Macaca mulatta: one gene and its partners. The protein of the gene in region 6 interacts with the protein of the main gene of each other region in a biochemical or structural test. Links are inferred from orthologs where the notes say so. Each region holds a gene or a part of one and is shown on either strand. Other genes may lie near its edges. The genes, in order: BCL11A, AHR, GTF2B, SP1, BCL11B and NR2F1.

Region 1 (3,711 bases), on a different chromosome or scaffold from region 6:
TATGAATCCCATGGAGAGGTGGCTGGGAAGGACATTCTGCACCTAGTCCTGAAGGGATACCAACCCGCGGGGTCAGGGGACTTCCGTGTTCGCTTTCTAAGTAGATTCTTAATCCATGAGTGTTCTGTGCGTGTTGCAAGAGAAACCATGCACTGGTGAATGGCTGTTTGCAAGTTGTACATGTGTAGCTGCTGGGCTCATCTTTACCTGCAAAATAATACAACACCAACATCAATGTTTAATCACTGAGGCGGGCATCAGCAATTGCTTATTTATGTTCCACCTCCAGCCTTCCCTGCCCCCACCCCTCAACCCCAAGCCCTAAACCCTCACTGACCTACTCCTGTGCCTGGCACGTCTGAGCATGGGTACCCAGTAAATATTGGTCCAATCAGTCTTCCTGCCATTAAACTCAGTTCTAGGAATTTGATATCCAGTCCCCAAAGCAGAAAAATCCTGGCCAGTTCTGGCTTGAGAATGAAGGTCCCTACATTCTAGGCACCTAAACAAATGTCTTCTAAACTTTCCAGTCCCATCAGCTGTAATTTGGGGCAAGCCATCTCATCTCCATGTGCCTCTGTTTCCTCTTTGTTAAGTGAGAAACTTGGACAAGGTGACCCAAGGAAACTTTTTGGCTTCCTAAATCCCAGCTTTCTATTCCCCCCTGGGTGGCAGGTGAACTTTCTAAATAGGCAAACATTTCATAGAGATTCAAAAAAAGGGGAGAAGGTCAACTCACTACAATGTTATATGGCCCTAGAGATGCTTTCAGTCTTAGTCTGAAACACACTAATTGTTGATATTGTTAAAATGAGAGGGTACTCATAAAATACTTCCATGGAAAAAAGACTAGCAACATTCTCACATCCCAGACTGTGGGAGGATCAGTGAGTCCCAATTTTGGTTCCACAACACCCCATGGGAACGCCCATTTTTATCTCAAAGAATGTTTAAAAATCTGAAAGAAAAACTTCATTCAGATCTAATGGATAGGCTGTATCCAATCTTTAGGAGTTGTCCCCCAGTCAGACAAATGCAAGTCTGGAAAAGTTAGGAGGAGTGGCTGGTGCCGACTTAAGCAGACACAGCATCCTAGTTTAAGGAACAGTTAAAGCAGCCAGCACCATGACAGGCAGCAGGCTGAGAAATGCTACACTATCCTCCTCCTCATTATTTTGAGAGGCTAACAACGTGAACCAAATTATACAACATCCTGCGCCCTCGGCTGAGACTCAGCTCCAGTTGAGAAAGAAACAGAAAGATACAGTTCAGCTAGTCAACTCTGGCCAGTAGCCAAGCCGTCTGGAGAGGGGCCCTGCTTAAGTCACATTATTTCCCTTGCCGAAAAGAACCCAAGAGTGGTAAATGCCACTTTGGCAAAGAAGGGCCAGCTTGACTTCACAAAATCTTTCATTTGGGGAGATGGCTAAATTAAATATATATGGGGAGATAGCTAAATTAAATATATATATATATGGAATAACTAACCAACAGTTTACTAGTCAAGTACAACATTAAAAAGGGCAGAAGTAATGGTAGCCAAAGGACAAGGATGAGAAAAACAGAAAACTTCCCATGGATTCTGAAAAAAACCTTAAAATACAACTGAGAAATAACAAACTTTTCTCCTTCTTTTAAAAGAAAGGCTACAAGAGTTCCTTAAGGCCACAGCTAGTATTTGTCAGTTAACTTTCTAAGAAGGGAAAAAAAATAAAAATCTACCAGGGAGGTTAATAGTGAGAATGAGGAATTAATCAATTATATGATGCCTCCATTTAGCAAGTCAGAAAGAAAAGCTGGCAGGGTCTTCTCAGGAGCCCCCAAACACTGGTATTCCAAAACAAGCCAGCCTTGCTCAAGCACTTGTCTCAATAATGGACTCCTGCCCTGACCTTGTAATTTACTTTACAATGCATTTATAATCCCACTCAATATATCCCACTCCTGGGTAAATCTCTTAAACAAGATTAGATGGTAAGATACCAAAATTAGATTTCAAACATTTGTCTAATGTGGAAGGGGGAAAAAAGGCAGAAAGATTTTGAAAGAAAACGCTGACATTAGTATCACATTATCTGCCTATTTTTGTTTGCCTCCTCTCTTCAAAGGGAAATAAAAAGCTTCATTGACAGCATTTTCATAAATTTTTTGTTGTTGTTGAACAATGACTTGAGTCCCAAATAGGCTGGAAAAAAAATTATCTGGTTCCAACTACATGATCCTCTGTGGCTTCCTCCTTGTCCTCCCTAGGTCTCTGCATGACTATCATACCCATGTAGCCCGACAATCTGAGTTGGGCAAGTAAAAAGATTTGTCTGATAATGCAAGTCCTTAACACGTTCATCACTCCAAATGCCTTAAAATTATATTTTACCTTATAAAAAAATCGATAGAAATCCAGGACTGGACTCATAATTAGTGGTGCTGGTTTCACATGTGCCATGAATGTAGTCATTGATAAATGCCAAAATCTGTGGCATACAGCACTACATCAAGGATCTCATTTGTATCCTTTCAAAAAGGCTTAAATGAGAAAAGTCCATTTTATTTTGCTGCCCTGAACGTCCTAAACTTTTTTTCAGAGCTAGTTATGTGATCATGCTACAGTATGTTAACACTGTGATGTTATCCTCCCTCTCTCTCATACATCAGGTCAGAGAAAATGGCATTTTATCTTATAATGAGCATACAACATACAGTTTTCACTATCGCATTTTAGTATTCCCATCAACTAGATATTCTAGATCATGAGGGCAGCTAGTGTAATCATAATGTCAATGAGAAGGGCTGTTACGATTGAGACTAAAGATTACATGGAGAGAGCTGCTTTGAAACTGGTAATTATTACCAGTCCACTAATAGCAAATGATGCATTACAATTTCACCATATAATCTGTATTTCACTCAGCTCGTGCCGGTGTACCATATTATATTACAGTGCTCACAGATTCTAAATTCCTAAACTGCAGTCATCAATAAATGTGTTACTTGCCATAATTTGTGAAATTACTTTGTTCATAACATCTTTGATGATTTAGAAAGACCAGAATTGATTTCCTGTGTGGCAAAATTAGGGCTACATTGATTTATTGATGTGTAAAATATAATAATATTCTTCATTTACTCTGATGAAAATCAACTTCTCAATTTGAGAGCCTCATTGGGCATTTACAGGGATTGTTTTGATTTAGAGCAATAAACTGACACCTGGCCCCTAAGCATAGGAACTTGAGGCACCAAAAGGGTTAAAATCAGCTATTAGCCCACCTACTGACTTTTATCTTATTTCATTTTACTTTATAGGAAGGAATGACCCCCATTTCTAGTATGTCACCAATGTGAAAAAGTCATGTGATCTAAGGCTCAAGATTCAGAAGAACAAGGAGGCCTGAGACTAGAGCCCTAGCTCTATTATTCACCAGCTTGTAACTCTGGGATAGTCATTTGATTTCTCTGAGTCTTAGAATTCCTATCTGTAAAATGAGCATAAAAACAGTACCTGTAAAGAATTGTTGGGAGGTTCAAATGACAGAAGTATATAAAAGCCCTCTGTAAACTATCAGGTCCAACATGAATGTGAATTTTCATTACTACCAGGGGTGATTAATTACTGAGGGTAATGACTAACCACATTACACACCCCGCACGGCTTCCAGAGGAAGGTCCCAGTCCAGGCCTTAACCCAGGCCAAAAGGAGGCTGTAGTGAAAGA
Region 2 (3,711 bases), on a different chromosome or scaffold from region 6:
ACAACAATATTTCTATGAGGCAGGTGTAGACAAGTTAATGAACAAAGAGTGTAACCCTGGTTAATCATGATGATAAGTTACTAAGTAGAAGTTTATCTATATAGTTTACTTAAACAGGTTATATTACATAAGAATTTGAAACATGTACTACAGTGTATGCTGTTTTTTTCTGACATGTTCATAAGGAACTACAACTTACTCCGGATATGGGACTCAGCACAATAAAGCATATCAGCAGCATGAATAAACTGATACCCTGATCCTCTCGTGCACAGTTCTGCTTCAGTATATCCTAAAACAATTCTTCCTCTGTTTAAAATTTAAAAAGGTAAAATAAGAATGAATTATGATTTAACATAAATGAAATAACAAAGATAAATTCATTGGTTTTACGCTAGTTTCTGCAATGTTTTAGTTCACATTTAGAATTTCACATCAGTAAGTAGATATGAAATTAAACACATCTATGTAAACCGCTCTTCCTTGCTTATGATTGCAAATTTCAGTTTCAGCCTATTTTCTTTTCCTGAATAAAACCACGGAAATTAGTATGCTAAAACTGAATTGAATAGAGCAGATGTATGGGTAACAGAAAATCTTTAATATAAATCTGGAACGTTTTTATAATCTATTTTTAGGGAAGAAGGTTTTTCAAATTACCTCTCTGCATTCCCACATTAGAAAGGAGAAAAGCACTGATATGTTTTGATACGATATAAATGCTTAATATCGGACTCTTGCTCACAATTTTCTGAAAGTTACTGAAACTTCTGGGGCTAGAAATCAAATAACATTTGTGCCATTTAAAAACGTAAAACAAACCAACATAAATGTCATCAGAAGAACAAACCTTACTAATATATAAGAACATCATCATCTGAGACAAGTCTTGCAAAAAATTAAAAAGATGATTTGTGAGCCTGATGAAATTATTTTTACTGTAAAAGCCTACACTGAAAGAATAAAAGCTAATAGCCAATCTAATAATAAACAATATTACATACAGTCCACAATGTATGTTTTACATGCTAAGAGAGACTTACTGAAACATAATGTACATCTGACAGAATAAAAGTGAAAAAGTCTCACTTACTTGGCATCACAACCAATAGGTGTGAAGTCTAGTTTGTGTTTGGTTCTAAAGATAAAATTTTTGGTCCGGATTTCAAGTATGGATGGTGGCTGAAGTGGAGTAGCTATCGCAAACAAAGCCAACTGAGGTGGAAGTATTGATCCATCCTTCCCTTTCTTTTTCTGTCCATGAAGATACTTTAACCTCCCTTGGAAATTCATTGCCTTAAAATAATAACAACAAAAAAAGTTCATTAAAATTAAAAATATGAAAGTTCCTTTTAAAAAGGCTCCATTATGGCTGCTTCTAGGGTTCTTGATAATTCCATAAATATTCCTGAAGCTGAGAACTGTTAGTTTCTTTCATTCCTGTCTCCATGGGACACCCATTAAAACTATCCCAAAGAGTAATATGAGAAATATTCTAAAGGGATAAGTGAACCACTCCTTGTTCCTAAATGGTCATAACATGAATACCTATATAATTTTCCAAGCTTGCCATTACCCTATCATTTTCACCTCGCACAGCTCCTTGCACACCAGGCAATCAATATATCCTGAATGGTAATAAAGCCCTAAACATTCATTTTCAAGCATACATGAACTATATTGCAGCTCATAGCGTATTGCATAGTTCATAGTAATCTTTTCTATAGAGACAAAATATAATTTTATTAAAACACTAAAATGAATCATCATGAAAACATATAAAGAATGCAGAGCTCTACTGAGTAAATATATGGAATAAATTTAGAAGACAGGGAAAACAAAGGCAACTTAAACATGAACATGATATATTTAATTGGTTAAAACAGTATCAACCAGTCCAAGGGATGGTTCTGACATCAAAATAATAGCAGTGCAAGGAGGAAAAGACCCTCTTGCACACAGGTATTCCACCTCAGACATACAGTCACATGTCACTTAACAAAAGGGGCATGTTCTATGAAATGTGTCCTTAGGCAATTTCGTCATCCTGTGAACATCAGAGGGTAGGTACACAAACCTAGACAGTATACCTTACTATACATCTAAGCTATACAGTATAGCCTTTTGTTTCTAGGCTACAAACCTGTACAGCATGGTATCATACTGAATACTTTAAGTAATTGTAACACGGTAAGTATTTGTGTATCTAAACATAGAAAATACACAGTAAAAATAAAGTATAAAAAATGGTATACCTGTATAAGAGTACTTATTGTAAATAAGGCAGGCAGGACTGAAAGTTACTCTGGTTTAGTCAGTGAGTGAGTGGTGAGTGAATGTGAAGGCCTGAGACGTTACTGTACACTATTAGAGTTTATAAACACTATACACTCAGGCTACACTGAATTTATAAAAAATATTTTCCTTTAGGCCGGGCGCAGTGGCTCATGCCTGTAATCCCAGCACAACTTACTGTAACTTTTTTACTTTATAAACTTTGACACTTTTAACTGTTGACTCTTTTGTAATAACACTTAAACACAGTGTACAGCTACACAAAAATATTTTCTTTCTTTACATCCTTATACTATAAGCTTTCTCCCATTTTAAAAAAAATTTTTTTACATTTTACACTTTTGAGTTAAAACCTAAGACATAAACCCACACATTAGCTTAGGTCTGCACCGTGTGAGGATCATTAATGTTCCTATCTTCCACCTCTACATCTTGTCCCACTGGAAGGTCTGCAGGGGCAATAACATGCATGGAGCTGTCATCTCCTGTGATCTTCTTTTGGAATATTTCCTGAAGGACATGCCTGAGCCTGCTTTACAGTTAACCTTATTCTAAAATAATGATTAAAATAAAATCATTAAAAGTATAATAAATAAAAAAATAAAGTAAAATAATGATTAACAGTAAATACATAAATACATAGTGATTTATTACTTTCAAGTATTATGTGTCATACATAATTGTATGTGCTATACTTTTTATATGACTGGCAACACAGGTTTGCTTCCATCAGCATCACCATCAACATGTGAGTAATGCTATGACATCGTTAGGTGATAGGGATTTTTTGGCTCCATTATGATCTCATGGGACTACCATCATATACGTGGTCTGTTACTGACCAAAGCATCATTATGCAGCACATGACTCTACATACTAATTGTTCATGAGCAATAACACTGAGAAAACTACCTCAAAGCACAATTCTAATTCTGAGTCAGCAAAATCCTCTTCAGAAATAAACACATAAACCAAAATCATTGCTTGGTAATGCTTAATTTAAGATTTGATTACCTGTTTCAAATTCCTTGTTATTCACAAAAAGTATACAATATACTCTGTATTCTCTTCTCCTGTACTTGGTGACACAAACTAAGGATACAATGAGAGACAGAGAAGTCCACTCTGAGGAATCCTAGGCTGCTCCCTACAGCAAACTCCTATGCAGGTGTTCAGACTTTGCAACAAGAAACAGTGTCTCCTATCAGATGATGATTCTACAATTGCGAATATACAATCATTTTTCTATGTGGCAGTTATTTGAGACATATGGAAAGGCCATTCTTTTTCTGTCTAGCAGGCATTAAATCCTCCTATTAAAAAAGGGCTACATAATTCTCTCCTATCTTAAAAATCCTAAAATAGTCAAAACACAAGGCTTCATGTTATTTCACTCAATCTTTGTTATTATAGTCT
Region 3 (3,711 bases), on a different chromosome or scaffold from region 6:
AGGGAGAAAAAAGAATTTGTAAGAATAAAAGATGTACAAACTAAAATAATTCAAATGGGAAAAATATTAGGTTTACAGGGTTATGTCTCTGAACATTTTTTTTTATGAGCAATTTAAAAGCAAAACATTTTTTCTTAACATTTTGATGTTGAGGAACGATGTCTTAAATGTGGGTTTTTCTTTTTTTGAGATGGAGTCTTGCTCTGTTGCCCAGGCTGGAGTGCAATGGCACAATCTCGGCTCACTGTAACCTCCACCTCCCAGGTTCAAGCAATTCTCCTGCCTCAGCCTCCTAAGTAGCTGGGATTACAAGCCCCACCACCACACCCAGCTAATTTTTGTATTTTTAGTAGAGATGGGGTTTCAACCACGTTCATCAGAATGGTCTCGAACTCCTGACCTTAGGTGATCCACCCGCCTTGGCCTTCCAAAGTGCTGAGATTACAGGCATGAGTCCCTGTGCCCGGCCAAATGTGGGTTCTTGCTATTTACCTGGTTCAAACTTAAAATGGAAAAATAATCACATGCTGTGAATTTCACAGTTTACTGCCACACTTCCTGATGACGAACCCTACCTTTTTGGGTCCTCTTTTCAGCTGATGCCTGTGAGGCCATGTAAATGGCTGCCGCTGCCACAGAGATGGGGCTCCTCCCAGGAACCAAGTCCAATTCCACAGCTTTACGGGCTATATGGGTAGCTGCCATCTGCACTTGTTTAGGAAGACAAAGATTGGAACAGAATCTGGACATGAAGTCCCCAGTTGTAATCAAATCCACACTGGTTTCTAGTGCTTTCAAAATAAGTTTAAAACACCGACCAATTTCTTTCTTAGAAATTCGTGATACGGCACATATTTCTAAAAGAAAAAAAAATTAAATAAATCAATTCACTTAAGCCATATAGTTCATCTTAAAATCTACCATTTCTAATTATAAACATACATTCTAATTGTAAAACATTCAATCATGCCTTAAAGATAAAACCCTAATTCTCTCAGTGATACTCCCCCCCAGAGATAACTGCAAATTTCTCAGTTAACTTTAATGTTCATCACACTTTTTTTTTTTTTTTTTTAAGACGGAGTCTCACTCTGTTGCCCAGGCTAACAGCAGTGGCACGATCTCAGCCCGCTGCAACCTCCACCTCCTGGGCTCAAGTGATTCTCCTGCCTCGGCCTCCCGAGTAGCTGAGACTACAGGCGTGCACCACCATACCTGGCTAACTTTTGTATTTTTAGTAGAGACAGGGTTTCACTATGTTGGCCAGGCTTGTCTAAAACTCCTGACCTCAGGTGATCCTCCTGCATCGGCCTCCCAAAGTGCTGAGATTACACGCGTGAGCCACTGTGCCTGGCCTAATGTTCTTCACTCTTTAAATGTAGGGTTTTTGTTTGTTTTTTGAGATGAGGTCTCACTATGTTGTCCAGGCTGGAGTGCAGTGATGCCATCTCAGCTCACTGCAACCTCTGCTCCCCGGGTTCAAACGATTCTCCTGCCTCCTGAGTAGCTGGGATTACAGGCGCCTGCCACCGCACCTGGCTAATTTTTTGTATTTTTAGTAAAGATGGGGTTTCACCATCTTGGCCAGGCTGGTCTTGAACTCCTCACCTCGTGATCTACCTGCCTCGGCCTCACAAAGTGCTGAGATTACAGGTGTGAGTCACTGTGCCTGGCTAAATTTAGGTCTTAATCTTTCCAAATATTAACTGCTCTAAGGATTAATTCATTGCAAGTAAATTTCTTTAAATGAAAAATTGATATTTATACATTAACCTGTTGTAAGCAGTGTTATCAAGGAGCTGAAAGAAAATACTCAAGCTAAAGGATGCCTCTTAGGCAACACAGTGTCATGTGTACATAAAATCCCTGCAATTATGGGCTATATAGCTCGATGAGATAAAATATTTGACCCTGTTATTCCCAGATGCAACCACCATACACTTTCAGAAGAAATTTAACAAAAGCTCTGTTTTAATTATAAAAACAACAAAAAAGATGATGATAAAGGCCATCACCTCTTCACTTTTACATAAGAAAACATAAAAAATAAATACTCACTGGATGAATAAAGGGTTAAGTATAGTCTTCAGCTAACCTGAGCTTTGGTAGTGTAAGTCAGTGAGCAACACTGAACAAACTGTCACATATTCCCATGTAACTGCAAACTGTATGAAAAATACCAGTTCTTTCAAAGCCTCCAACTGAAGTGTAAAAATGCAAACAATACACCTCAAGAGAAAAAACTTCACTGATGCTTTCTTTAAATTTATTTTTGAGATGAAGTCTTGCTCTGTCGCCCAGGCTGGAGTGCAGTGGTGCAATCTTGGCTCACTGCAACCTCCGCCTCCCGAGTAGCTGGGACTACAGGCGTGCACCGCCATGCCTGGCTAATTTTTCTATTTTTAGTAGAGCCGGGGTTTCACCATATTGGCCAGGCTGGTCTTGAACTGCTGACCTCAGGTGATCCGCCTCGGCCTCCCAAACTGCTGGGATTACAGGTGTGACTCACCGTATCTGGCCTTCACTGATAACTTTCTAAAGCCTGACTCCCTCATCTACAGAGACTGGTGCTAGAAATGGAAACTGTTTTCATGTAAACCAAATGTGTAAATGGCCTACTTTGGTTTACCATTACAGGCCTGAAAGCCCACAAAATTTTAACAGTCCATCAAAAGATCTCACTAGCAAAGAACATAGTGGGCTTACATGGACTAAAATGAGTCTACGTGGGAAAACAGCCTAAAAGAACATTCTATGAATTTGCTGTCAAGGAACAAAATAAGTAGACACTGGCAAATGATGCTCAAGTGGATTACTGTAGTGACAATAAAGATGACTTAGCTTCTAAGTGTCAAAGCTGCCTGACATTGGTCTGTTTCTTTAATATGATGTAGAAAATGCTATTTTAGGCTGGGCACAGTGGCTCACGCCTGTTAATTCTAGCACTTTGGGAGGCCAAAGCGGGCAGATCACCTAAGGTTAGAAGTTTGAGACCAGCCTGGCCAACATGGCGAAATCCCGTCTCTACTAAAAATACAAAAGTTAGTCAGGTGTGGTGGCACGTGCCTGTAATCCTAGCTACTCAGGAAGCTGAGGCAGGAGTATAGCTTGAACATGGGAGGCGGAGGTTGCAGTGAGCCAAGATCGCACCACCGCACTCCAGCCTGGGTGACAGAGTGAGACTCCATCTCAACAAACCAACCAACCAACCAACCAACCAACCACAACAACAAAAAAACAACAAAAAAAAAGGTAAAAACTTACCTTTAAATGTCCTAGGAACCCCTTCTTGTCTACAGGCAATATAGAGACAAGCAGAAGCTATAGCATCATTAGCTCTTCCCTTCAGGCTCTTCTGTTCATATACTTGCTTGAATAAATTATTCGTTCGATCCTTCAAAGCAGAGAAACTAAGTTTAACTCTATGTCATTTAATTAGCTGCAATATCGAAATTTCATGTGTTCATTAAATTATGCAAAGTCAATGCCAGAATGGCTTAAAGGAGGTAGACAAGAACTTACAACTATATTTCGAGGTAGATTGATTCTATCTGCCATGGTAGTGATTTCTTTGAATGCATTCATCATTGCCCGATCAGAACTGCTCATTGTTCTCCGATTCTGGTACTTAGAATTGCCAAATTCATCAAAACTTGCAGCTCCTGTACCCTATAGAACAGTTAAAACTATGAAAAAACGTTTTGGAAAGTA
Region 4 (3,711 bases), on a different chromosome or scaffold from region 6:
GTAGAGACGGGGTTTCACCGTGTTAGCCAGGATGGTCTCGATCTTTTGACCTCGTGATCCGCCCGTCTCGGCCTCCCAAAGTGCTGGGATTACAGGCTTGAGCCACCGCGCCCGGCCAACACGTAGTATTTCTAAACTCACCACAGAAATGTAAGAAAATCAGGGAACTCAAGCAGACTTTCCCCCCAGATTTACCAAAACTGCAAGAGGCAGGAAATATGGTCGCCTATTTGTTACCCTCACTTATGTAAGAATCAGTCTAAATGGAATGAGAACTTGGTAACAAAAGTAAACAATTTATAAACCCACATATATATGCCAAAAGAACTAGAAGTGGCCAGGTGCGGTGGCTCACGCCTGTAATCCCAGCACTTTGGGAAGCCAAGGCAGGTGGATCACGAAGTCAGGAGTTCGGGACCAGCCTGGCCAACATGATGAAACCCCACCTCTACTAAAAAAAATACAAAAAATTAGTAGGCATGGTGGCGTGCGCCTGTAACCCCAGCTACTCGGGAGGCTGAGGCAGGAGAATTGCTTGAACCCGGGAGGCAGAGGTTGCAGTGAGCCAAGATCATACCACTGCACTCCAGCCTGGGAGACAGGCAAGACTCAATCCCAAAAAAGAAAACGAAAAAAAAAAAAAAAGAAAGAACTAGAAGTTGCGTGATATTATTTGGTGACATTGAACTATTTTCCATATTTGTATAACTGTGCCAGAATATAAAAATGTGTGTATATCCTTTTACTGTGCTTTATTAAAGATCAGCTCCATACAACGGAATTTAAAATGTTACAGTCAGGCAGGTCGTGGTGGCTCACACCTATAATCCCAGCACTTTGGGAGGCCGAGGCGGGCAGATCACTTGAGGTCAGGAGTTCAAGACCAGACTGGCCAACACAGTGAAACCCCGTCTCTACTAAACATACAAAAATTAGGCAGGCATGGTGGCTCGCGCCTGTAATCCCAGCTACTTGGGAGGCTGAGGCAGCAGAATCACTGGAACCCACGACGCGGAGGTTGCAGTGAGCAGAGATTGCACCACTCCACTACAGCCTGGGCAACAGAGCAAGACTCAGTCTCAAAAACGAAAAAAAAAAAAAAGACACGGTCTACATAGACTTACACCTGCTTACTGTTTTAATTTCAAATTAATAGTGAAACATTTAGTTCAAAATGAAAGACCCTGAACACCATGGTCAACCGATTCAATATTCTTCCCAGATTATTTTTCCCTTCAATGCTCTCCTCATTCCTAACTCTTCTCAATCCCACATCCCCCACTCCATTCCAGACCCCAACTTACCCCACTCCCTTTCTCTCTCCTCCCTTCCTAACCATACACAGTACTTTCAAAGCAGACTAGGAAGTTAGACTGCTACCTAGGAAATACCAGAATCACCTAGGACACTCATATGTTAGTGTGAAGGGAAGCTATGGGATTTTGTTTTTAAGATAACTAGGAGTTAAAAAAAATTCAACCCTGATTAACCAGCATGCTCAGTGTGGGATATTCTGGTTAATACTAACCAGGGAACTTATTTTGTTGAAAAGCAACCCATTAGATCATTTTCCCTTCAATTAGGAGTTACAGTTCACAAGAAATATCTGATGATAATCTGTGTTCTACAAACGGGCAAAATTCATAATCAATTTTTTTTTTTTTTTTTGGAGATGGAGTCTTGCTCTGTCGCTCAGGCTGGAGTGCAGTGGCACGATCTTGGCTTACTGCAACCTCTGCCTCCCAGGTTGGAGAGATTCTCCTGCCTCAGCCTCCCAAGTAGCTGGGACTACAGGTTTGTGCCACCACGTCTGGCTAATTTTTGTATTTTTAGTAGAGACGGGGTTCACCATATTGGTCAGGCTGGTCTTGAACTCCTGACTTCATGATCCGTCCACCTCGGCCTCCCAAAGTGCTGGGACTATAGGTATGAGCCACCGCACCCAGCTCATAATCAAATTTTTTATTTTTATTTTCTGAGACAGGGTCTTGCTCTGTCAACCAGGCTGGAGTGCAATGATGTGATTTCAGCTCACTGTAGCCTCTGCCTCCCAGGTTCAAGTAATTCTTGGCCTCAGCTTCCTGAGTGGCTGGGACTACAGGTGCGCATCACCATGCCCGGCTAATTGTTTGTATTTTTAGTAGAGAAGGGGTTTTGCCATGTTGGCCATGCTGGTCATGAACTCCTGACCTCAGGTGATCGACCCATCTCGGCCTCTCAAAGTGCTGGGATTACAGGCATGAGCCACCGTGCTCAGCCGCCCGACTACATTTTGGTTTTTTTTTTTCAGAGTCTCACTCTGTAGCCCAGGCTGGAGTGCAGTGGTGCAATTTTGGCTCACTGCAACCTCTGCCTCCCGGATTCAAGCGATTCTCATGCCTTAGCCTCCCGAGTAGCTGGGACCATAGGCATGTACCACCATGCCTGGCCAATTTTTGTATTTTTTGTTGGACAGGGTTTCGCCATGTTGCCCAGTCTGGTCTTGAACTCCTGAACTCTACCCATCCACCTGCCTCGTCTTCCCAAAGTGCCTGAATTACAGGAGTGAGCCATCGTGCCCGGCCCATAATCAATTTTTATCCTATGGAGGAGTTGGCCTACAGGCCAAAGAAGGCCTTAGAGCTAAAAATGGTTTTACATTTTTAAAAGGGTGCGGAAAAAAACATACAAAAAAGAAAATGTGGCTAGGCGCAGGGGCTCGTACCTGTAATCCCAGCACTTTGGGAGGCTGAGGCAGGTGGATCACCTGAGGTCAGGAGTTTGAGACCAGCCTAGCCAACACAGCAAAACCTCGTCTCTACTACAAATACAAAAATTAGCTGGGCATGGTGGCGTTTGTCTGCAATCCCAGCTACTCAAGAAGCTGAGGCAGGAGAATCGCTTGAACCCGAGAGGCAGAGGTTGCAGTGAGCCGAGACTGCATCACTGCACTCCAGCCTGGGTAACAGAGCAAGCCTCTATCTCAAAAAAAAAAAAAAAGAAAACAGAAAAGAAAACGTGACCACATGAGGCCCACAAAGCCTAAAATATTTACTATCTGGCCCTTTACAGAAAAAGTTTGTCAACCCTTATTCTGCAGCACCAAAAACACTGAGTAGTACACAGACTCCAAAATATTGCCCAGAAGTGCTCCTTTCTCATCAAACTAACTGGAGAAGTTTCCTTTACTTCAGTTCCAAATTACTTAAGCAGAATCTCTATTTCTCAAATTTATTTGCCTATATGACTAGCCCTCAAGAAAGTGTTATCTCAAAAAGCTCTATTCCCTTATTTAGACTCAAGTTTCAGCTAAGATGCTAGGGTTGGTTCCCAATAAATGCAAAAGATCGGAAAGCTTACCTGGAGCATTTGCTATAGCCAACGGCAGGCCTTGAATTGGGTGCACCTGGATTCCTGAAGTACCCAATGCACTGAGGTTAATGGTCTGGAGGCCTGGCATGGAGGAGAGTTGAGCAGCATTCACAGTGACTGTGCCAGCAGGAATGGAAGCAGCTGAGGCAATGGGTGTAAGAGTGGTGCTGCTGCTGCTGGTCTGTCCCAAAGAAACACCCTGCATTGGGGCTAAGGTGATTGTCTGGGCTTGTGGGTTCTGAACTTGGAGGTTCTGCAGCTGTAGAGTCTGCCAACTGACCTGTCCGTTGGGCCCCACTGTTGGTGTCCGGATGATGATGGGACCAGAGTTTGGAACAGCCTGAAGCTGGAGGTTCTGGA
Region 5 (3,711 bases), on a different chromosome or scaffold from region 6:
GGCGAGGGCCGCCTGCCGGGCACGCCGCCTCTCTTCAGCCCCCCGCCGCGCCACCACCTGGACCCGCACCGCCTCAGTGCCGAGGAGATGGGGCTCGTTGCCCAGCACCCCAGTGCCTTCGACCGAGTCATGCGCCTGAACCCCATGGCCATCGACTCGCCCGCCATGGACTTCTCGCGGCGGCTCCGCGAGCTGGCGGGCAACAGCTCCACACCGCCGCCCGTGTCCCCGGGCCGCGGAAACCCTATGCACCGGCTCCTGAACCCCTTCCAGCCCAGCCCCAAGTCCCCGTTCCTGAGCACGCCGCCGCTGCCGCCCATGCCCCCTGGCGGCACGCCGCCCCCGCAGCCGCCGGCCAAGAGCAAGTCGTGCGAGTTCTGCGGCAAGACCTTCAAGTTCCAGAGCAATCTCATTGTGCACAGGCGCAGTCACACGGGCGAGAAGCCCTACAAGTGCCAGCTGTGCGACCACGCATGCTCGCAGGCCAGCAAGCTCAAGCGCCACATGAAGACGCACATGCACAAGGCCGGCTCGCTGGCTGGCCGCTCCGACGACGGGCTCTCGGCCGCCAGCTCCCCCGAGCCCGGCACAAGCGAGCTGGCGGGCGAGGGCCTCAAGGCGGCCGATGGCGACTTCCGCCACCATGAGAGCGACCCGTCGCTGGGCCACGAGCCGGAGGAGGAGGACGAGGAGGAGGAGGAGGAAGAGGAGGAGTTGCTGCTGGAGAACGAGAGCCGGCCCGAGTCGAGCTTCAGCATGGACTCGGAGCTGAGCCGCAACCGCGAGAACGGCGGTGGCGGGGTGGCCGGGGTCCCGGGCGCGGGGGGCGGCGCGGCCAAGGCACTGGCTGACGAGAAGGCCCTGGTGCTGGGCAAGGTCATGGAGAACGTGGGCCTGGGCGCACTGCCGCAGTATGGCGAGCTCTTGGCCGACAAGCAGAAGCGCGGCGCCTTCCTGAAGCGCGCGGCTGGCGGCGGGGACGCGGGCGACGACGACGACGCGGGCGGCTGCGGGGACACGGGCGCGGGCGGCGCGGTCAACGGGCGCGGGGGCGGCTTCGCGCCGGGCACCGAGCCTTTCCCTGGGCTTTTCCCGCGCAAGCCCGCGCCGCTGCCCAGCCCGGGGCTCAACAGCGCCGCCAAGCGCATCAAGGTGGAGAAGGACCTGGAGCTGCCGCCCGCCGCGCTCATCCCGTCCGAGAACGTGTACTCGCAGTGGCTGGTGGGCTACGCGGCGTCGCGGCACTTCATGAAGGACCCCTTCCTGGGCTTCACGGACGCACGACAGTCGCCCTTCGCCACGTCGTCTGAGCACTCGTCCGAGAACGGCAGCCTGCGCTTCTCCACGCCGCCCGGGGACCTGCTGGACGGCGGCCTCTCGGGCCGCAGTGGCACGGCCAGCGGAGGCAGCACCCCGCACCTGGGCGGCCCCGGCCCCGGGCGGCCCAGCTCCAAGGAGGGCCGCCGCAGCGACACGTGCGAGTACTGCGGCAAGGTGTTCAAGAACTGCAGCAACCTGACGGTGCACAGGCGGAGCCACACCGGCGAGCGGCCTTACAAGTGCGAGCTGTGCAACTACGCATGCGCGCAGAGCAGCAAGCTCACGCGCCACATGAAGACGCACGGGCAGATCGGCAAGGAGGTGTACCGCTGCGACATCTGCCAGATGCCCTTCAGCGTCTACAGCACCCTGGAGAAACACATGAAAAAGTGGCACGGCGAGCACTTGCTGACTAACGACGTCAAAATCGAGCAGGCCGAGAGGAGCTAAGCGCGCGGGCCCTGGCGCCCCGCACCTGTACAGTGGAACCGTTGCCAACCGAGAGAATGCTGACCTGACTTGCCTCCGTGTCACCGCCACCCCGCACCCCGCGTGTCCCCGGGGCCCAGGGGAGGCGGCACTCCAACCTAACCTGTGTCTGCGAAGTCCTATGGAAACCCGAGGGTTGATTAAGGCAGTACAAATTGTGGAGCCTTTTAACTGTGCAATAATTTCTGTATTTATTGGGTTTTGTAATTTTTTTGGCATGTGCAGGTACTTTTTATTATTATTTTTTCTGTTTGAATTCCTTTAAGAGATTTTGTTGGGTATCCATCCCTTTATTTTTTTTTTTAAACCCGGTAGTAGCCTGAGCAATGACTCGCAAGCAATGTTAGAGGGGAAGCATATCTTTTAAATTATAATTTGGGGGGAGGGGTGGTGCTGCTTTTTTGAAATTTAAGCTAAGCATGTGTAATTTCTTGTGAAGAAGCCAACACTCAAATGACTTTTAAAGTTGTTTACTTTTTCATTCCTTCCTCTTTTTTTTTGTCCTGAAATAAAAAGTGGCATGCAGTTTTTAAAAAATTTTTTTTATTTTTATTTTTGTTTTTGGGGTGGGGGATGTGGATGTACAGCGGATAACAATCTTTAAAGTCGTAGCACTTTGTTTCAGAGTTGGAATGGAGATGGAGCACTCATGTCGTCCCAAGTAAAGCGGCCTTTTGTGTGTTGATTTCAGCTTTCATATTACATAAGGGAAGCCTTGAGTGGTGGTGCTAGAAGAGGCACCCCACAGACTCAGCACCGCCAGAGAGGATTTTGGAGGGCTCCTCTGGGAAATGGCCCGACAGCATTCTCAGGTTGTGCATGACCAGCAGATACTATCATTTTCTTGGAATATTGGCGTGCCCTGGGGTGCCATGGCTGCTATTCGCTGTAGATTAGGCTACATAAAATGGGCTGAGGGGTACCTTTTTGGGGAGATGGGGTGGCCTGCAGTGACACAAAAAGGAAGAAACTAGCGGTGTTCTTTTAGGCGTTTTCTGGCTTGACGGCTTCTCTCTTTATCACCCCCACCACATAAATCTCAAATCCTATGTTGCTACAAGGGGTCATTGATCATTTCCCAAGCAGACGAATGCCCTAATGAATTGGAGTTAGTGTTCTCTCATTTAATGCACACTGATGATACTGTAGGGATGGGTGGGGTGGGATCTTCCAAATTTCTATTCTCTGTTACTGAAAAAGCACGGGAGGAGTTCCATCAGAAGGTGCCCAGCGCTACTTCCCAGGTTTTTTTTGTTTTGTTTTGTTTTCTATCTCATTAGGTTGGAAGGTACTAAACATTGAACTGTTAAGATTAGACATTTGAATTCTGTTGACCCGCACTTTAAAGCTTTTGTTTGCATTTAAATTAAATGGCTTCTAAACAAGAAATTGCAGCATATTCTTCTCTTTGGCCCAGAGGTGGGTTAAACTGTAAGGGACAGCTGAGATTGAGTGTCAGTGTTGCTAAGCGTGGCATTCACAATACTGGCACTATAAAGAACAAAATAAAATAATAATTTATAGGACAGTTTTTCTACTGCCATTCAATTTGATGTGAGTGCCTTGAAAACTGATCTTCCTATTTGAGTCTCTTGAGACAAATGCAAAACTTTTTTTTTGAAATGAAAAGACTTTTTAAAAAAGTAAAACAAGAAAAGTACATTCTTTAGAAACTAACAAAGCCACATTTACTTTAAGTAAAAAAAAAAAAAAAATTCTGGTTGAAGATAGAGGATATGAAATGCCATAAGACCCAATCAAATGAAGAAATAAACCCAGCACAACCTTGGACATCCATTAGCTGAATTATCCTCAGCCCCTTTTGTTTTTGGGACAACGCTGCTTAGATATGGAGTGGAGGTGATTTACTGCTGAATTAAAACTCAAGTGACACAAGTTACA
Region 6 (4,311 bases):
AAACTTTCCTTTCAAAGTAGAGGGGTGAAAACAAGGCCACAGCTCTGGAGGAGGCGGCCCCAGCTCCGTGAAGAAGAGAGGGAACCAGTGAACGGGCCAGAAGCCCCCCTTCCCCCCTAATTAGACCTACAAGTGCAATAAATCTCACTCCTCTTTTTCCAAGCTAAGCTTCCAAAAGGATGATGGCAGCAATGAATCTATGGTTCAGGGTACTCCAACCCCAACCCTCCCCCATTTTAAATAAAGGGTATGAAGAGGTGGAGGGAAAAGTGTAATGAAAAAAACACAGAAACAGAGTTTTCTGGGGGAAATAAGCACCCCTCCCCAAGTTCATGCCAGCACAGCCCCAAGCAGCCTCACGCACACGCGGGAAAGAGACACACCGAGCACATCCAAGACAGAGGGAAGAAGGGGGATTTTAAGCCACAGCTCACGATCTCAGGGACACAATCCTGAGCAGGCAGCGGGCGGGGTGGGGGAGCCGGGGAGAGGAGCGCAGGCCGGGAGGGGGAGGCAGCGGCAGTGAGCTGGGGAGGGCGGGGGGAGACGCCGGGGGAGGAAGGCAGCGGGGAGAAGGGAAGCTGGGACAGGCCGGGACCACAGGAGCCCCAGCCCCACACAGCAACCACCCGGGCGAGAAAGAAAGAAAGAGCCAGGGAGGCGGGCGAAGCGCGGGGAGAGAAGCAGAGAAGAAATATTCACCTTCCCGCCTCATGCCCACTTTGAGGCACTTCTTGAGGCGGCAGTATTGGCACTGGTTGCGGTGGTGCTGGTCGATGGGACAGTTCCTGTTGGCACGGCATGTGTAAGTTAAGTTCCTGCGGACGCTCCTCTTGAAGAAACTTTTGCAGCCCTCGCAGGTGAATTGGCCGTAGTGCTTGCCGCTCGACTTGTCCCCGCACACCACGCACTCGATGTGCTGCTGGCTCTGGCCCGAACCGGGCGGGCCCTGGCCCTTGTCCCCCGCCGTGCCGGGGGTGGCGGGCGCTCCGGGCTGGCCCGGGGTCTGCGGCGTGTGCGGCGCGCCCGAGCCCGCCTGCTGCTGCTGCTCGCCGGCGCCGCCGCCGCCGCCGCGGGCCGCCTGCGCTGCGGGGTTGGGGCCGCCGGGGTTGCCCCCGGCCACGTCGTCCTGCGGATCTCGCCAGCTGCTAACTACCATTGCCATATCTTTGGGCCCGGGGAGCGCTGGGGGGAGCCGAGCTGCTCGCCGAGGGCCGCGGGGCGCGCCGGCGCGCTGGGAGGGGAAGGGGAAGGGGAAGGGGGGAGGGGGAGGGGGCGGGGGGCCCGCCGGGCGCCCCGGGGTCGCAGGAGCCGAGCCCGAGCCGGGCACCGGCCGCTGCCTCCGCCGCCGCCGCCGCTGCCGCCGCTACTGCCTCGGCCGCCCCGCTGCTGCTGCGCGCCCGCCCGCCCTGCTGGCGTTTTGTTGTGGTTCCTGCTGTTTTCTTTCTCTCTTTTTGCAGCCCCCCCAGGCTCTCAGGCTCCCCCCCCAACACCCCTGCTCCCCTCGCCCGCTCCCCCCGCGCTCCGTTCCTGGGGGGGCCGCGCTCTCCTTCCCCCCTCCCCACCCCCCGGCGAGCAAGCTCCCTTCTCTCGCTTTTTTCTTCTTCCCCAAGTTGCAAAATCAGAAATGGCACAGGCGGCAGCCGGGAGCGGCGCGGGGCGCAGCGCCGGGGGCGGCGGGCATGGGCCACGGCGCGCGCACAGACTCGCCCTCCGCCTCGCCCGCACCCCCGCGCACACACACACTCGCACACACACTCGCTCACCCGCGCCGGGCGCCCGCCCGCCCGCCCGCCGGCCGCTCGGGCTACGCGCAGCGCGCTGGCTGAGCCGACATAGAGGAAGCCGGCGAGGGCGGAGGCGGCGGCGGCGGCGGCGGAGGAGGAGGTCGCGGCTGCAGGCGCCGCTGGAGCTGCCGCCGGAGCTGCTGCGGCGAGCGCCGCTGGAGGAGCCCGGGCCCGGGCCGGAGTCCGAGCAGGAGTCGGGGCCGCAGCCGGAGCGCGAGCGGAGGCCGGGGCCGCCCGCGCCGCCGCCGCTGCTGTCCCGGCGGGAGCCCTCGCCGGGCTCGGGAGTGCAGGGAGCGCGGTGAGCCGAGCAGGGCGCTGGGCGAGGCTGCCGGCGGCGATCAGGGCGCGCGGGTGTCGGGGGGCCAGGTCCAGGGCCGGACGCAGCCAGCCATTCAGGAAGGCAGCGCTGGAGAGCGGGAGGCAGCCGGCGAGGAAGATCACACACTTTGCTCTTTTTGTTGTGCCGGTGGCGCCGGGCTCTAGCTGCCTTCTTCTTTCGGGAGGTGACGGAAGGGGGAAAAAAATACGGGATAATTCACGCCGGCGACGAATTCACAGCGAAATAGAAAAAATAAAAATCAGAAGAAAATAATTGCCAAAAAAAGGAAAAAGGAAAAGCGAGAGAGACATCCAAAGTAGGTCGAATAAATAATCCTCTTCTTTTCCTCTTTCTTGCTCCTTCTTCTGCTTCTTCTGCTATAACACACAGAGCTAGTTAAAAAAACCCTGGAGATCGCCCAAAAATGTTCTTTTTTTAGTATTTTAAATAAGTGCTCTTCAGCCGGGAACCAACACCCTCCCTCCAAAAAAAATCATATATGTATAAAATAACGATAAGAAGAATACGAAGGGGGTGCCTCCTCCTCCTCCTCCTCCTCCTTTTTTTTTCTTTAAGTTTAGCCCTCTCTCTTCTGCAGGAATGGAGTAAAAGAGACGAGGAGGGAGAAAAAGGAGAGAAAGAAGGAGAAGAAGGGGAAAACAACTAGTAGAATATGTAAGAAAAGAGAAAGGAGAGAGAAGAGAGGTTCAGAGAAGAGAGGAGAGAGAAGAGAGGAGGGAGAGAGAGGGGGGAGAAAGAGAGGAGAGAGAGAGAGAGAGACAGAGAGAGAGAGAGAGAGAGGAGAAGAGAGAGAGAGAGACCCAAAAATTGAATGCGTTTAAACGGGAGGACTCGCAGAGCAATGTTTCCGAAAGGGGGATCTGCGCGAATGTCTGTATATAGTGAACTTTGACACTACTATTGAAACTGACACGTTTCTATGGAGATCGCTGCCTTATATGGAGCTCGTGTCAAGGAGCCAAGAGAAGGGCTGCTGGCAACTGATAATCAAAGGCGACTGACTGGTCAGAGCCCTGAATCGGGGGGAGAGAAAATGGGAGGCTAAGGTTAGCCAAGCCTCCTGCACGCCATTGGTTGGAGAGCCCCTCCCCCCTCCTCTTCTGCTTTCTTTCTTTTTTTCCCCCCTCCCTCTTAGCTACCTACAGACTGGGATGGTGTGGGGAGGAGGAGAGAAAGTGAGGGAGGGGGGTGTGTTTCTGACAAGCGCAATTTACATTGAGATCGCCCTGCGCTGCTATTTACTCTGAGACCTGATTAGTATGGGTCGTCTATGGTCACACACACACACACACACACACACACACACACACACTTACGCATACACCCCAGAGGGGGAAGGGATGACGAGGGGGGGAGAACGCCTAGCGATGGGCAAAAGGAGAATTAGAAGGAAATTATTTTGATTTCTTCTGAAAAGTTTTTAAAATTAGATTTTATGAGCGTGAAGAGAGTGTCATTTAAAATGTTTAGAAAAAATTTTAACGGGAATGAAACCCCCACCATTTTAATGATTCGTGAAATATACTGGATTTGGATTGTTTTCTTCTCTCACATATAAGCACAATCCAAGTCTGGATTCTGCTCATTTTATATCCTTGTTATAAACAAGGTAGGATCTCCCTATTTTTTGATCCAAAGTATACCTGGGTTTAAAAGGTTTAATGACGACAAAGCACACTCCTGGAATTTGCGGCTATTGCCACAAATTCGATCGGAATCAAGGGTTCCTATTTATCCCAAAGACGATTTTAAAAATAAACTTTCCAATCAATCCAGTTTTTCCTTCTTCTTCTTCTTCTTTTTTTTTTTTTTAAATCACCTGGCTGTTCCAAACTCCAACAATGCTTCAATAATTATTAATAAAACAGTAGTAAGTCCCCATATTGTTGCGGGGTGGGGGGAGATTAGTGTGGCCAAATCAGTCCCGGGAAAAGAGCAAACAAACGAGAAGATGGAGAGGGGGGGAGGCGGAGAGGGAGAGAGAAAAGGGGGAGGGGGAGGGAGAGAGAGGAGACGAAAGGAGAGAGAGAGCGCGAGACATTGAGAGAGGAGAGAGAGAGGAGAGAGAGGGGAGAGAGAAGAGAGGAGAGAGAGAATGAGAGGGGACGGGGAGAGAGAGAGAGAGAGAGAGAGAAGAGAGAGAGAAGAGAGAGAGAGGAGAGAGAGGAGAGAGAGGAGAGAGAG

The links.
Region 1: the proteins of NR2F1 (region 6) and BCL11A form a complex in vitro, tested with the Homo sapiens proteins (2 studies listed by BioGRID). The link is inferred for Macaca mulatta from reciprocal best matches to the Homo sapiens genes NR2F1 and BCL11A.
Region 2: the proteins of NR2F1 (region 6) and AHR form a complex in vitro, tested with the Homo sapiens proteins (2 studies listed by BioGRID). The link is inferred for Macaca mulatta from reciprocal best matches to the Homo sapiens genes NR2F1 and AHR.
Region 3: the proteins of NR2F1 (region 6) and GTF2B form a complex in vitro, tested with the Homo sapiens proteins (2 studies listed by BioGRID and IntAct). The link is inferred for Macaca mulatta from reciprocal best matches to the Homo sapiens genes NR2F1 and GTF2B.
Region 4: the proteins of NR2F1 (region 6) and SP1 form a complex in vitro, tested with the Homo sapiens proteins (2 studies listed by BioGRID). The link is inferred for Macaca mulatta from reciprocal best matches to the Homo sapiens genes NR2F1 and SP1.
Region 5: the proteins of NR2F1 (region 6) and BCL11B form a complex in vitro, tested with the Homo sapiens proteins (2 studies listed by BioGRID). The link is inferred for Macaca mulatta from reciprocal best matches to the Homo sapiens genes NR2F1 and BCL11B.

The regions. Positions count from the first base shown.
Region 1 is NC_133418.1:64,327,914-64,331,624, reverse strand, and holds part of BCL11A (BCL11 transcription factor A), read right to left. Parts: intron 208-3,711; coding exon 1-207. UniProt on the Homo sapiens protein: Transcription factor. Associated with the BAF SWI/SNF chromatin remodeling complex. Binds to the 5'-TGACCA-3' sequence motif in regulatory regions of target genes, including a distal promoter of the HBG1 hemoglobin subunit gamma-1 gene.
Region 2 is NC_133408.1:110,933,097-110,936,807, forward strand, and holds part of AHR (aryl hydrocarbon receptor), read right to left. Parts: intron 1,297-3,711; coding exon 1,094-1,296; intron 310-1,093; coding exon 200-309; intron 1-199. UniProt on the Homo sapiens protein: Ligand-activated transcription factor that enables cells to adapt to changing conditions by sensing compounds from the environment, diet, microbiome and cellular metabolism, and which plays important roles in development, immunity and cancer.
Region 3 is NC_133406.1:151,744,338-151,748,048, reverse strand, and holds part of GTF2B (transcription initiation factor IIB), read right to left. Parts: intron 3,670-3,711; coding exon 3,523-3,669; intron 3,395-3,522; coding exon 3,265-3,394; intron 858-3,264; coding exon 576-857; intron 1-575. UniProt on the Homo sapiens protein: General transcription factor that plays a role in transcription initiation by RNA polymerase II (Pol II). Involved in the pre-initiation complex (PIC) formation and Pol II recruitment at promoter DNA.
Region 4 is NC_133416.1:60,530,267-60,533,977, reverse strand, and holds part of SP1 (transcription factor Sp1), read right to left. Parts: coding exon 3,340-3,711; intron 1-3,339. UniProt on the Homo sapiens protein: Transcription factor that can activate or repress transcription in response to physiological and pathological stimuli.
Region 5 is NC_133412.1:172,492,451-172,496,161, reverse strand, and holds part of BCL11B (B-cell lymphoma/leukemia 11B), read left to right. Parts: coding exon 1-1,770; 3' UTR 1,771-3,711. UniProt on the Homo sapiens protein: Key regulator of both differentiation and survival of T-lymphocytes during thymocyte development in mammals.
Region 6 is NC_133411.1:99,957,686-99,961,996, reverse strand, and holds the start of NR2F1 (COUP transcription factor 1), read right to left. Parts: upstream 2,975-4,311; 5' UTR 1,166-2,974; coding exon 703-1,165; intron 1-702. UniProt on the Homo sapiens protein: Coup (chicken ovalbumin upstream promoter) transcription factor binds to the ovalbumin promoter and, in conjunction with another protein (S300-II) stimulates initiation of transcription. Binds to both direct repeats and palindromes of the 5'-AGGTCA-3' motif.